Drosophila melanogaster: one gene and its partners. The protein of the gene in region 3 interacts with the protein of the main gene of each other region in a pairwise test. Each region holds a gene or a part of one and is shown on either strand. Other genes may lie near its edges.

Evidence for each region. Proteins that work in one complex are often made in the same cells at the same time.
Region 1: the proteins of Pis (region 3) and CG34268 interact in a two-hybrid assay, tested with the Drosophila melanogaster proteins (one large-scale study listed by BioGRID).
Region 2: the proteins of Pis (region 3) and CG33143 interact in a two-hybrid assay, tested with the Drosophila melanogaster proteins (one large-scale study listed by BioGRID).

Annotation. Positions count from the first base shown.
Region 1 is NT_037436.4:499,024-502,041, forward strand, and holds CG34268 (uncharacterized protein), read left to right. Parts: upstream 1-1,941; 5' UTR 1,942-2,001; coding exon 2,002-2,013; intron 2,014-2,076; coding exon 2,077-2,316; 3' UTR 2,317-2,377; downstream 2,378-3,018. Other genes in the region: CG34267 (uncharacterized protein), read right to left, coding at 1,054-1,275, 1,339-1,350.
Region 2 is NT_033778.4:22,612,035-22,617,468, reverse strand, and holds the start of CG33143 (uncharacterized protein), read right to left. Parts: upstream 3,142-5,434; 5' UTR 2,748-3,141; intron 1-2,747. Other genes in the region: tous (testes of unusual size), read left to right, coding at 4,249-4,448, 4,507-4,590, 4,679-5,434.
Region 3 is NC_004354.4:15,700,629-15,705,570, forward strand, and holds Pis (phosphatidylinositol synthase), read right to left. Parts: upstream 3,143-4,942; 5' UTR 2,994-3,142; coding exon 2,942-2,993; intron 2,691-2,941; coding exon 2,556-2,690; intron 2,460-2,555; coding exon of another isoform or gene 2,401-2,459; exon of another isoform or gene 2,185-2,400; intron 2,035-2,184; coding exon 1,881-2,034; intron 1,788-1,880; coding exon 1,636-1,787; intron 1,558-1,635; coding exon 1,376-1,557; 3' UTR 823-1,375; downstream 1-822. Other genes in the region: CG9240 (uncharacterized protein), read right to left, coding at 1-179, 361-459; Hap40 (Huntingtin-associated protein 40 kDa), read left to right, coding at 3,600-3,778, 3,965-4,823. UniProt on the Drosophila melanogaster protein: Catalyzes the biosynthesis of phosphatidylinositol (PtdIns) as well as PtdIns:inositol exchange reaction. May thus act to reduce an excessive cellular PtdIns content.

The sequences.
Region 1 (3,018 bases), on a different chromosome or scaffold from region 3:
AAATAAAAAAGTTGAGCAAGTGCAGGAAAAAATTGAGGTGACAACACATAGGAAATGTCTAAATATACGAACAAACGCTGGCGATAGCATAAATCACCGGCGAGGGGAAACAGGGAAACTGTAACTGCAAACAAGTTAATGAATGTATCTGTGGGATACATCTGCATGGAGAGAAAGACTCGACAAATAGAGTTGGCCGAAAAGCAAAAGGCGGCTATAAAAAGCGTTAACAAGACAACAACAGCAATTGGCGAACAATAAAATACACTTAGCAGCCGAAGAAGAAGCGAATAACCACTAAATTGCTGTTAACAATTCTTGGAGTGCCCAGCCAAGCCAGTCAGCAAAGGCAAATACATTTTTCTGTCTGCCAAAAGTGGGTCAGCAAGAAAAGCCTCCCCCTTTCCATTTTATAGAAGTCTTCAATGCCAGCCGCAAGCGTTTTCATCAGCCAACTCTGCAAACGCAAACTCTTTCTCTCGCGTGTTAGTTAGATTTTAACTACCGTTTAAGAAGTATCGTACGGCTACTCTCAACTCTTCGCAACTGAACTCCACTCCGCTCCGCTCCTCTTGGCGTCCATTAATCACCTTCAGTCGGTGCAAAGAGTCAATTCACCAGCGAACAGCCTGCCAAATGTGTTCCACGCAACTGCTCAATCTCCGTATCTTTTGGGTGCCTGGAACGAGGCGCACATTTGGCTTTTATCACTCGATCCGCACCAAATAAACTACAAAGCCCCTAACGCGAAAACAGAGAAAAACGTATTTGTGTTCCAGATTTTGGCGCATTTACGGCTTGCGTAAAAATTTCCGATCGGACCAGACCGAAGAAAATTCTGTTGCAGCTCTTAATGGGTTGTTGGATACAAAAACTCGGCGGGACATGAGAAAATAATCCGCACACACTGCAAATACTGCGAATAAATCACAGAAGTTGTAAACTCATTTGAAGTGCATTTGATTTGAGACAAGTAAGTCAAATATGATTCCTTTTACAAGCATAAACATTTTATTTATTCCCGTGCGATATCGATTGAGCTCTTTCCAAAATTTAACCGTGGTAGATGTGGTGTCCATAGGTGGGAACAGCGTAGGACTTCAGCACAGGGACATGCTGAACCACTGGGACATTCTTCACCACCGGAACGTGCTGCACCACTGGAACAGATTTCACCACGGGCACCACTTGGGCTACAGGAACCACACCGTAGGAGGGCTCAATGTAACCAGGAGCAGCAAAAGCCATTGCTACCAGGGCGAAGATCACAGCGATCTAAGGAGATATTTTGTAATATGAAAAATCACAAGGATTTACTTTATAATTTCGTGAACTTACAATGCGGAACATTTTGGTATTTTCTTAGTAATTTACAAACTTGACTTGGAGATATTGTCACTTGGATGCTTGTAGGACGACTGGTGATGCTGACCAATGGATCAGTTACTTTATATAGCCAAAAATCACTTCAATAACAACTTCTAAATGGGCAAACGTGTTTGGCCATAATTCTTCTGTTTAATTGAGAGAATGGATTTATCAGTTGACCCAAAGGTGCCTCATATAGGTCTTTTTTTGTGGACATGACCTTGGTTCTTGGTGATCATCACAAACGCGTGAAGACGATCGATATAATGACAATGGTCTTGGAAGTAAACAATAATAAGCACACGGATCTAAAAACAGCAAACAATTGAGAAGTCATTGAATGGGGATTATGTCCAAAGGTTAAGCAATAACGACCGATAACGGGAAGTTCGCCGCTGGAGATGGTTTCATACCAAATAGAATGCGCATTATTCGAAGATACCAAATTTAAGATAATTAAACTGGTTTGGCGCGTGGCGTTCGAACAGAAGTCATTTGTGGGCTATTTTCGGCTGAGGTGCTAACTACTATATATAATGATTCCACGGATGGTCAATCAACAACAGTCGTCCGGCTAACACAAACGTTCGATAACCACAAGTTAAAGTTTTTAACTCACAACAAAATACCAAAATGTTCCGCATTGTAAGTTCACGAAATTATAAAGTAAATCCTTAGGATTTTTCATATTACAAAATATCTCCTTAGATCGCTGTAATCTTCGCCCTGGTAGCAATGGCTTTTGCTGCTCCTGGTTACATTGAGCCCTCCTACGGAGTGGTTCCTGTGGCCCAGGTGGTGCCCGTGGTGAAATCTGTTCCGGTGGTGAAGCATGTTCCAGTGGTGCAGCATGTTCCGGTGGTGAAAAATGTCCCAGTGGTTCAGCATGTCCCTGTGCTGAAGTCCTACGCTGTTCCCACCTATGGACACCACATCTACCATGGTTAAATTATTGTAGCACAACCCCATTAGAAATTGACCCGACATAAATAAATTGCCAACCAAATCGAACTTATCTTTATTTTCTGGTATAGAGCGAGGATAAACTTTTGGGTCATGCCATCGGGACTGGCTTAATTTTTATACTTACAATTAAATGATGCATGTTTTTTCCTACATCAAGGAAATAATTCTCGTAAAAATTACGTACCCAACACCCTTTCGTGGTCAGCACTTTCCATTTTACACATTTTATAGCAACTAAAGTTGTCCGCAGACCCCAGTGGTTTCCATGGCTGACTGATTATTTTATGGGACATTTTGTAAAATTTAATTTCACCTCGCTCATTTTGTTATTTGCGAATAGTCACACATAAAGTCGTTAACAAGGCGGCAAGCTTCCAGGGGAAATTTCTTCATTAATCAGCGGAATAAAGTGACGCCTCTAAACTGCAGCTGCATCTTCTCCACCTCCCCCCCTCCCACCACCCCTTACCCGACAGACGTTGCCATTAAAACCCAATCCCAGCTCGTCTTTAATTTGAGCCAATTAAAGTGGCGACAAAGCAAAGCCTTACAGCCCGCTTCAAACACTCTGAGCCAGCCGCCTTTCCCTTTGGCTTTTTCCCCGGTTGCGGTTCGATCTCGTGTCGATGATGAACCTGAATGGATCGTACATTAATTTTTCATTGTTTTTTATTTGGGGCTTTA
Region 2 (5,434 bases), on a different chromosome or scaffold from region 3:
GGCAGACAATAAATCAATCAGCTGTGCCAACATCCAATTCCTGCGCAGAAAATGCTCCAATGCTCCAATGACACCCCCCACCACCCCGCGCCATATATTCCCAGCCCGGCATATTGGTAGTCGCGTGTGGCGCGGTGTGTGAGCGCTATTAACAAAAAGGTCAACTTGGTCGCTACAATTGAAGCCCGAAAGCCGAGAGCCAAGCCAAAAGGAAAGGAATGGAATGGAGAGGAAAGGAAAGGGCTAGGAGAAAATGGGAAATACCGGGGCAAAGGCTTGTGTGTGCTGCGCTTCAGCTTTTACACCGGTGCACACTGCTCAAAAGTCAACATTTGACCTGGAACTAATGACTAAACTGGCAAGCCAACATGGCGGATGAGCAATAATGCCAGTCCAAGAGCCATATAAAGCCTATCAGTGTGTGTCTCAGCAACTGCAACTTAAAATAAGCTCATTATTAAATTATATGTTTTATGCGTATTAGGAGTAAAATTTTCAAAAAAATTTTAAATTAGGAAATGACCTGAAATTTAAACCCAGCACGTCATGATCTATAATTTAGTGTTGCTTGAAGTTAAATAGAGTTTGTGGTGAACAATAAGAAATTTTTCCCAGTGCAGAGTGTATATTTGTACAAGTGCGAGCACTGGTGTGTGTAAGTGAAACGTTTCGGAGCGAAAGAGATGGCGAAAGAAAGGGCGGGCGCATGCTATTATGTCCTGGCGGTAAAACAAAAAACGAAAGGCTAGAGAAAATAAGGGAAAACACTTGACTCCAATTTCGGCGAGATTTTCCACAGGTATGCTGGGAACAGAAGATGTGGGGAAGGTCGCTGATGAAAGGAGTGCAGTGAAGAGTTGGGGGAAATGCGGGAAACAGGCTGCCAAGGATGATGATAAAAAATTAAGCGCGTAATGGGAGGCTAAAGTTGGCTTTAATTGAGTACTACTTTCAGCTTAAAGCTCGCGAGGATGGGAGCTGATAAAAAAATAATTGCAACAATGAAAGTTCAACATGGTATCATTTCAGATTCTCTGCAGGATTTTTCTTTTCCGCAATGCGCAGTTGAGTGTGAAAAGTTTGAAAGTTAAAATACAGTCTCCGAAAAATATAAACTTTTTAGCACAGTAAAATAGTAAAAAAATACATTGACAAGATAAATAGTTTATGCTTCTCGCATTTAACAAGCCAATTAGATTACCTCAGTTCGAATGGCTAAGTTACCTGTAAACATTTCATTCCAAATTTTATTCTTATGACCGTGTAAAGAAAGAATTTTTGATTGGACTCAAGTTTTTATGGGATAATCAAAATAATAGCTTTCGATGTGTGTACACTTCAGCTTATTATGATCTCCATTATGAGAAAACTTCACGTTGTTCTTTAGACTTTTTGATGGATTTCTTCGTGCTGTTTTTATTTATGCGTAAACTCATTCCATTACGATGAAATTTTGTTTATTTACAGATTGCTAATGAGCACAAACAACTTTCAGCGATGAAGAAATTTCCATTTATAATCGGTCAAACTTTGCGGCATTTTGCTCGACTTCGTGCGAGTCCACAAATACGGGGAGCGAGTCGTGTTAATATATATATATATGTAAACATATATAGAATCGGTGCATATATCTAGATGTACTGCCACATGGTGGAGCAATGCACGCAATGCGGCGACTGTGGTTGCGACGGATTTAAATTTAAACGAACATTTACGTTTTCCGGGCATTTTGCCGCCGATCCGATTTTCATTTGACCTGTTCTAGTTGCGGTGAATGTGCGGATATCGGTATAAATATGCATATATACATACATATACGATTCTTTGTGGAGAACGATTTGTTTATAATAACCTACTACGTGCGACTCGCTACGGTTCGAATGGCCAAATAAAACAGGGGAAATTGAGAGATGAAAAAGATTTACAGCAGTGCAAGGGCGAGGTATTAACCCACACAAAAATTCAAAAACACACAGGTTAATTGTGAATTCGCTGCCTGTTTTCGCAAAACAAACGAAACAGGAGCATTAAAATTACTTTTTAATTGCCACAGCTGTGCTGCTTTTCAGGTTGAGTTGCTGGCTGACAGAGTCCATTAGGCCATTTTCCATTCCATTTCATTTGCGTTTTCATCGCACATTTTCCGTTCCCTTTTTTCCCAGTTCCGATTCTGATTTGCGCAATTTAATTGGCTTAAAATTCAGTTGCCTCCTTGAAAACAGCCGCAAAGGACTCAGGACTCAGAAGTTTTCACTGTTAATTGAGCGACTGTCACAGAATCACAAGCACACCTACTTATGTACACACAGAAAAGAAATTCGGAGATCCGATGGCTTTCACATTTGTAAGAACTGTGGCACGAAGTTATTTTTAAGCCCAAGCATTGATTGTTTCAAAATAGTTTTCAAATCATTCGAGAATAACCAGACAAGTATTCGGCCAAGTCGTAAATCGATAGAGAACAATAAAAGTGCTATAAGGCCATTTAATAGTTTTTCTAGATCAATAATAATATTAATTACAATGTAACTTTGAGTATAAACTAGCTTCCAACTATCTGTTATATATGAAAAAGAAAAATATTGCTTCAGATAAATGATAACTGTGTGGAAATTCTCTCGTCCAGTGGACAAACAAAAGTTTTAACAGCTCGCGGCACGTTTGAAATCTGCAAAACACACACAATTCAGCCCTCAAAGGCTATGTACTGTCACACAATTTACAAGTTCTTTTTTTTTTTTATTTACTTTTTGCCGTCGGACTCTGGTTAACCGGCTCGGCCACCTGCTAGTGACACGCCTCTCCGGCTCGCCGCCTCCTCCGTGCGGGTCGCGAGCCTGGATACAATACTGATTTTGGTTTTGAATCCGATGTGGATGCTGATGCGAGTGCGGATGAGGATTCGGAATCCCAGTCCCTGGCCCGATCCCTACTCGCAATCGGAGGTGGAAAGGCGTGCATCCACTGATAACGGCGAAAACAAACACTTCACTGCGCTCAGTTCTCAGTTGACTGTTGTCTGCACTCGGCTCTCTGCCCGATTAACTGTGCTTTGGAGCCACTGCCTTTCGCTTGCTTTCACTTCCGTTTCCGGTTTCCGTTTGCTCGTTGTGCTGCGGCCGACGCGAAAACTACTACTGAAATGGACAGCGGAAAATGAAAACGAAACTGAACCGAGAAAGCCGAAAGAGCGAAAGCTTTCCACGACAGCGGTGCACGGATTGGAGATGCTTATTTGACTATTTTATGGCTAATTCGAAGGGGGTGTACTTGATGGAAATCTTTAATGAACTACAGACAAATTTGAAATTGTTGTTATATTTTTAAAAAAATTTTCTTTCTGATATGTCTTTTCTAATTCTAATAACTATTAATCACAAAAGTACCGCCAAAGTTCACCCCAACGTAGTTGAGTTTGAAATTATTCTATTGGACAATACTGCTATTAAATACTTTATACACATGAAAATTGTGTTGTCTGAAAGGAAAACCATTAATCAAGCCAATTCCCCACCCAATTTATTTCCCCAACTGGGAGAGCTCAAACCATTTTCGGCATATCCAACTTGTAGGATTGTGGACACAAAAGCTTTCCCCCTTTCCCAAGAATTTCCCAGCTGAAGAGGGGCCGAGCAGCTTTTCTTTAACTAACAATTTCTTGCGTTAGGTCGTGTTCGCAGTGCCAAGGAGACGATAGCCGCCAACTACTTGTGGGGATTTTGGGGGATGACACAATGCTTGGAGACCCAACTGACTGGCTGGCTGTCTGACTGGCTGATTGACTGACTGACAGAGTGACACAGTGACTGGCAGACCCATATTCAGCGAAAAGCGCATTGACAGAGTTCAAGTGCGACGGTGTGGCTGTTGCTCTATTGTTGGCCAGGAAACGAGCGCCGGTTTCGGCGGAAATTTCAATGTTGTTTTTATCAAGCGCTTAGCTTTCATCACAGACCCCTCCCTTGTCACTCGAGGGTTTAAATTAAAAGCATACTTAGCGGCGCTTAATTACTTATTCATGGACGCTCGCGGCTCCGTTCAGATTGGAATAGACCCAGAGCCTGGTGTTGTTAGGCTCTCACTCTCACTTCCCATGGATGCCATGGAGTTTGCTGTCGCTGGCAGGACTCCCTAACGATTTGCCCCAGGTTGTTTGATCGAATTTCAGTTCCTCCAATTTGTCTGTCTGCCAGCTAAAATTGTAATCCCGGGTCTCAGTGCATATATTTTGTACAACACTCAACGAGGATGGACGAAGCCAACAAGGAGGATGTGAAGCGAGCCTCTCTTTCCAACAGCACGGTGACAATAAGGCCACGTCTCATCTACGGACTGCGTTCGGATGTCATTGGCAACATCCACTTCAACCTGACCAAGGAGGTCATCTATCCGGTGGAGGGAGTTCTAGCGTTCCACGACTACGTCCAAAACAAGCAAAGGTTTCTCAGGTGGGTACTCCACGTTTTATAACTGTTAAGGAATATCTTAACCCTTGTAATCCTGCAGGCTGCCGGAGGATACGCGACCCGAGGTGATATCCATAAGTTCGCATCGCAAACTACTGGCGGTGGTGGAAAGGCACTCGAAAAAGTAAGAGCTTCATTTCAGATGCTTTATATTTTATATAACTCAACCTAACATAGTTCAAATGAATGGACTCTTTTTAACTTTCTATTAGTGGTCGGTATATATCCATTTATGAGTTGGCCACCCTGAAGAAGCGACGTCACTTGGAGCTGCCGAGCAACCATCGCAATGCGGAGATACAGCAGATGATCTTTACCAATGACTCCAGATCGGTGGCCCTGATCACCCGCCCGCCGGAGGAAACCCTTATTATGTTGGTGCTGGACAAGACCAGTACAGTGATCGAGGGCAGGGCCACAATCCCGGGATCTCATGGAGGCGCCGAGTGCATCGCTGGCAATCCAAACGATTGCAATTTTATGGCGGTCGGAGGCGAGCGCACGTTGTTGCTGATGAGTAAATCGGAGCGAGGATTTAGTATCAGCAATAATCTGAAGGTGAAATATAGGGTCACCTCGATGGCTTTTCTATCGCTGGACCTGCTGATGATTGGTACGTCGGATGATCAGTTGATCCTGGTGGAGAACGGCGAGCAGAAGTTGGCTCAAAAGGCGAGCGATGCGGACACTGTGGACTTGATGATCGATCAGGAGGTGTTCGATCGGGACAAGGAGTTGCAGGAACAGCGTTTCCTGCCCACGCAGGCGGTTAGCCTTCCTGACAGGAGAGTCCTCTGCATGACCGCCTTCCCCAAGGGATTCGCCTACATCATCTTCAATCGGGCCTTCGTCTTCGAGCGCGTTTCCAAGTTCAAGTTCGAGAGAAAAACCATCCTTACGGTGCCCACGAATCTGTATGCCGAGCATATGTACCAGATTCTAAATCTGGCCATCGACCACAAACAGGA
Region 3 (4,942 bases):
ATTAGCACCTGATCACCGGAAACGGCCACGATACGCTTGCAAATGAACTGATCGGCTTTGATGGGCGATATGGCGATGACTATGTCGCCGGGCTGGTAGGTTCGCCAGTGTTTCGACAAGCGCTCGGTGAGAAGAACGTTGTCCGAGTGCAGGGTGGGCTCCATGGAGGGTCCTTTGCACTGGAAATGGTTGCATTAATGTGAGTGTACGTACTTTTCCGCAAAAGAAGGATATCAAGTGGAAGTTACACAAGGTGGAAAAACAAGTGGAGAGTACCTTAATGCATTCACACGAACTATGTGATGCTGGCACATGTTGGGCAAGTATACCCGCCCAGGAACTTCATCCTAGACGCCTTACCAGGACGAAATCGCCAATGTACTCGAAGGTGCAGTGTGTGATTGCCGCGTAGGCCACCGTGTAGCGCATCAGGCGACCCAGACGGGAGAGGATTTTCATGTCGGCGATTCCGGCGTTGGCTGCTCCACATGCGCCCCTAATCAGAGCATCTCCCGTGTCCAACGACCTGGTATTCTCTCGAAAAAAGAGCTCCTCCAAAATCGAATGTTTATGTTGTGTAAAAATCAGGGCTGCACAGGCGGCGCAGCTGAGCGGCCAGCCAGGGATGTGCCAACGATAATTTTGATGTCTAACGATAAATTTTGTGTGGCGCAAATTTCAAAAATCGATGGCCCAAAAGGTTAAACTAAAATTTAGCGCATAGAACCACATATATTTATTTTCACTTTTCAATTTTGACTAAGTCTGCCAGGCCTGGCATGTATGGTACATATATGTTAATGTTTCAAATACATCTAACATCCATTTGTCGTATATATTTCATGCAGGTCTCCAATTACATTCTTTAACTTACGATTAGAAATACATTAGTTACATTGAGAGAGTTGCTGGGACAAGGTGGTTAGTCAAACCCAAAACGTGCACAGTGAGATAAATCCTGGAAATAGACACTCATTCATAGTATATCGGCCTGCATTTACGCATTGGCATATATATACATATATAGCGTGTAAACTACGCTAACTAAAGGCAAAATAAATATGCAACAGCTACTGACTGGAACGAATCGCTTAAATTTCAATTCAAAAATCTATTAAATACAAATTGTCGGGTGATTTCACCACCCGTCTAACTAAAATATATCAAATAAAATCAACAATCATTGCAATAGCGCATTAAAAATAAATTAAATTCCTACTACGGCCTATTTGGTTGCCTAATGCCCATATTTCATCTGATCGCAATTCGTCTTCAAAATTCTGTTTTTTTAGCTTGGAATCAAGAGTTGTTTCATTTAGTACTTTCTGTTGATAGAACTGTCGCTGGAAGATTGATCCCGGATCGCATCCCATTTTCACTCCACTTTCTTGCCGCTCACCGGCTCCGACTTCTGGCGCCGCTCCTGCCGCTCGCGTACATCCACGGCCGCCAGATCGATGCCCGCCACGTAGGCGTGCATCACCGAGATCAGGGCCTTGAGCACGGCAAAGGGACCCGTGAGGAAGGCGAGTATCTTGAAGAGCGATGCGCCGAATACTGCAATTGAAGTCCATCAACGGATTAGATACGTTTCGCCAGCTGAAATGCAAAGCATGTGCGTGTGCGTATACTCACTCAGCGGGCCGTAGGTGAAATGCAAGAGGTACAAGCACACGTAAAACAGCTCATTGACGCAGCACATGAATGTGAGTATGTCCTTCTGGTAATACAATCGCATTATGAAGTTGTCATTCACCTTGTGCGAGCTGCGTCCGACCACAACGCTCCTGCAAAAAGACAAAGCCACGAGTCATTAGTTTCCTTCCATTCCTTGACAGTCCAGACGTCCAGCATCTTGCTCTTTCCCCTGCCCCACTTACGTCTGCATGAAGAGCCAGTGACAGGCCACGTCGATGGCGATGGACAGCTGGAACCAGAACATGTACCGGGGATAGAAGTAGGCCAGGGTGACCAGTAGGCCGGTGGTGCCGCAGCGATCGGTCAACTGGTCTAGCATGGCGCCAAAGCGAGTGCCTGTGAGGTAATCGAGTATTTAGTAAAGATTCCATAGTACCATATGATAATTACTAATATTTTGATATACATATTTTGGTTGGAGTACCCTTTCGTTAAGACTCTAAATCATCCTGCTAGCATACAACAAATCCAAGTGCAAGATCATACCTTTCAGTTTGCTACACTACTATATCATAAACATTGCATGGTATCTGCAATTTGTTTCTTAGAAGGCTTCTATCCTAATGTTTTTCCTCCTATATTGCTAACTACATTGCATAGTTCCAAGGCAATATTAGCCATGCTTTCTATCTATTCTTCAGCCCCACGTCATCCATCGATTGGCTGGATAGCCGTGACCATATCGGGCTCTTTAGGGCGTGCCTACAATTCCACAATATCGGCAGATAACCAGTACGGAGGAGACAGGTGTTTGCAATGCGCTAGCGGCCAAAGTGCGCGCACAAATCAAATACAGACATATAGCTGGCATGAGCTGGCATTTCGATATCAAGGGCGATCGCATGGTTAATGCTTACTTTGGTTAAAGGCTCGGGCTGCTTGTCCATCGACGGCGTCCAGGAGGGCGGAGGTTACATAACACCAGCCGGAGATCACATAGTTGGTGGACATGAACCAGAAGGCGATCAGGGCCAGAACGATGCGGGCGTAGCCTGGAAAAGATCAATATAAATCAGCACATATGCGTGCATCATACGTATAGAATCATTGGAGGTGACTCAATTGGGTTGGACGAAGCGGCTCTTATCGCTGAACTTGCGCTTCGCATTGCACTAGCTGCCAAACAGCCCCTATTAATCCAATTAGGGAACACTAGAATCGCTATTATTGCGCCGCATAAATCGAACATGCGATTTGTTTACCTAGCTGGAGCACGGAATAAAACCTACAAACAGCCACTCACCGATCAGATTTGGCACAAAGATGAAGACGTTATCGTGCTCGGCAATTGTCATTTTGTTTCGCCACTTTGGTTTTTCGTTTATTTTGCGATCTTCTAGCTTTGCGGCTTGTTTTTATCCAATTAAATGCCAAAAGTGCTGCAGAAAAAACAGTGGAAACAGAATTTGCTGTATCTGGTGTGACCGCAGCGTGACCTTTGGAAAAAACAAACAAAGACTTGAGAGAAAATACCGAACTATACTGGCCAACAAGATTTCAGATGGTTTCCACTGACACACATCTGTTTCTAGTTTCTATTTTTCTCTTCCAATAGAAATTTAGTAATTAGTATATCATTTTAAATGTATCAAATACAAATTAAAGGTCACTAGATTATTAACATGAGCTACCAAAACCGGGCAACTAGTGTAGTTGCTTGTTAAATGAGTTTTGACAGCGATTTGCGTGCCGTTTTGATACATTTTCGCTGCCGTTGAGCAGTGTAAATGGATCTTTGCATACCGCTTCTAAGCTAGTATATTCCTCAGCGGGACATGGCATGGTCACACCGCCCGCGATAAAGTTTTCACAAATAATAATAAAAACACAATACAGGCGAAAATATAATGCACAAGTAGCGCGACCCGAAGTAACCTGCGCGGAGAACCACATGCTGTAGCATGGATAAACTCCGCGGCGGCAGTCTGGGCGGCGGCGGATCCTCCAGCGGCGCGCCATCGACGGCTCCGGGCCATGAGCACCACCAACTGGAGCAGTATCAGTACCCCAAAAACCTGATCGAGCAATATCTAAGGGCCTCCAGCAAGATCAAGAAGTTCGAGCGGGCCGGCTTCTTCAAGTGAGTAGCTACGGCCCAAGTATGGGCAATCAGATACCTTGCAGATCATTGCGTTTGATTAGCAAGTCATTGCCCAATTTATCGCTTTTCCTCCATCTTCAAACTATGTTTAGAAATACGGGTGTATTAGAAGCCCTCGAATCACGGAATACAATCTCAATACTCCACTGTTTCTCTAATTCCCAGACGCTTTGCGCCCAGCGTGGTCGATGTGCAGGCGGACTTCCAGCGACTGGCCTACAGCTTCGAGGAGTCGGGCATACAGCAGTATGCGGCCATGTGCCACATTGGCTATGCCAAGTGCGAGTCCTACGGCGGCGCACCGCAGCGCGAATCGGAGGCCTATCTGCGGGCAGCTAGATCCTTCCTAGCGGCGCACAACGAGTCCGGGCGACTGCATCTGCGCACCCGCCACTCGGGATTTCGGGAGGGAGCGGTGCACTGCTATCACCGTGCGGCGGATCGAGCGGTGGACGGTTGCGTCTTCAAGGCGGCCATTCTGCGCGAGTTGAAGCAGCTGCAGCGGCAGCTGGACAGCACCAGCAGCTTTGCCTCGCCCACCCATCAGATCCATGACCTGGAAATCAGCGCCGAAACGAGTGGCCAGCGCGGCGATTTTCGCAGTGCACTGCAGCATTACGACGACATTGTGGACAATGTTTACGAGCGACGCGGTGCTCGCATGTACGGTGAACTATTGCGGCGCGTTGAGGTGCTGCGTCTGCTGCTCCTAGTCCATTTGAACCTGCCTCCCGCACGCCAGTCACCCGCCCACATCAAGCTGATCGAGTACTACTACAACCTGGCGCAGTTCGAGTCGCTCCCCTGTTCGGCGGACGACGGTGGATCCGCGGAGCGTCCGGGAGCATTTGTGCCCGAACAGCAGCAGTATGCGCTGGCGGAGATTACGTGCGCCTGGGTGGAGCGTAAAATGTGCGATCTAAAGCACCTGCTGCGCGACTTTGGAGCCGAATTTGGATCGCTGAGCGACATGGAAAGGCAGCTGCTGGCGGTGATGCATGCAGAACTGGCCCGAAGCTACTAGATTTTAGACCTAAGATCGTACTGTACATTATTTACTACTGGATCATTACCACTGAATGAGAATGACACATGCAACTATCGCTTAAGTGTAACCAAGTCTACCAACTAACCTTTGAACGT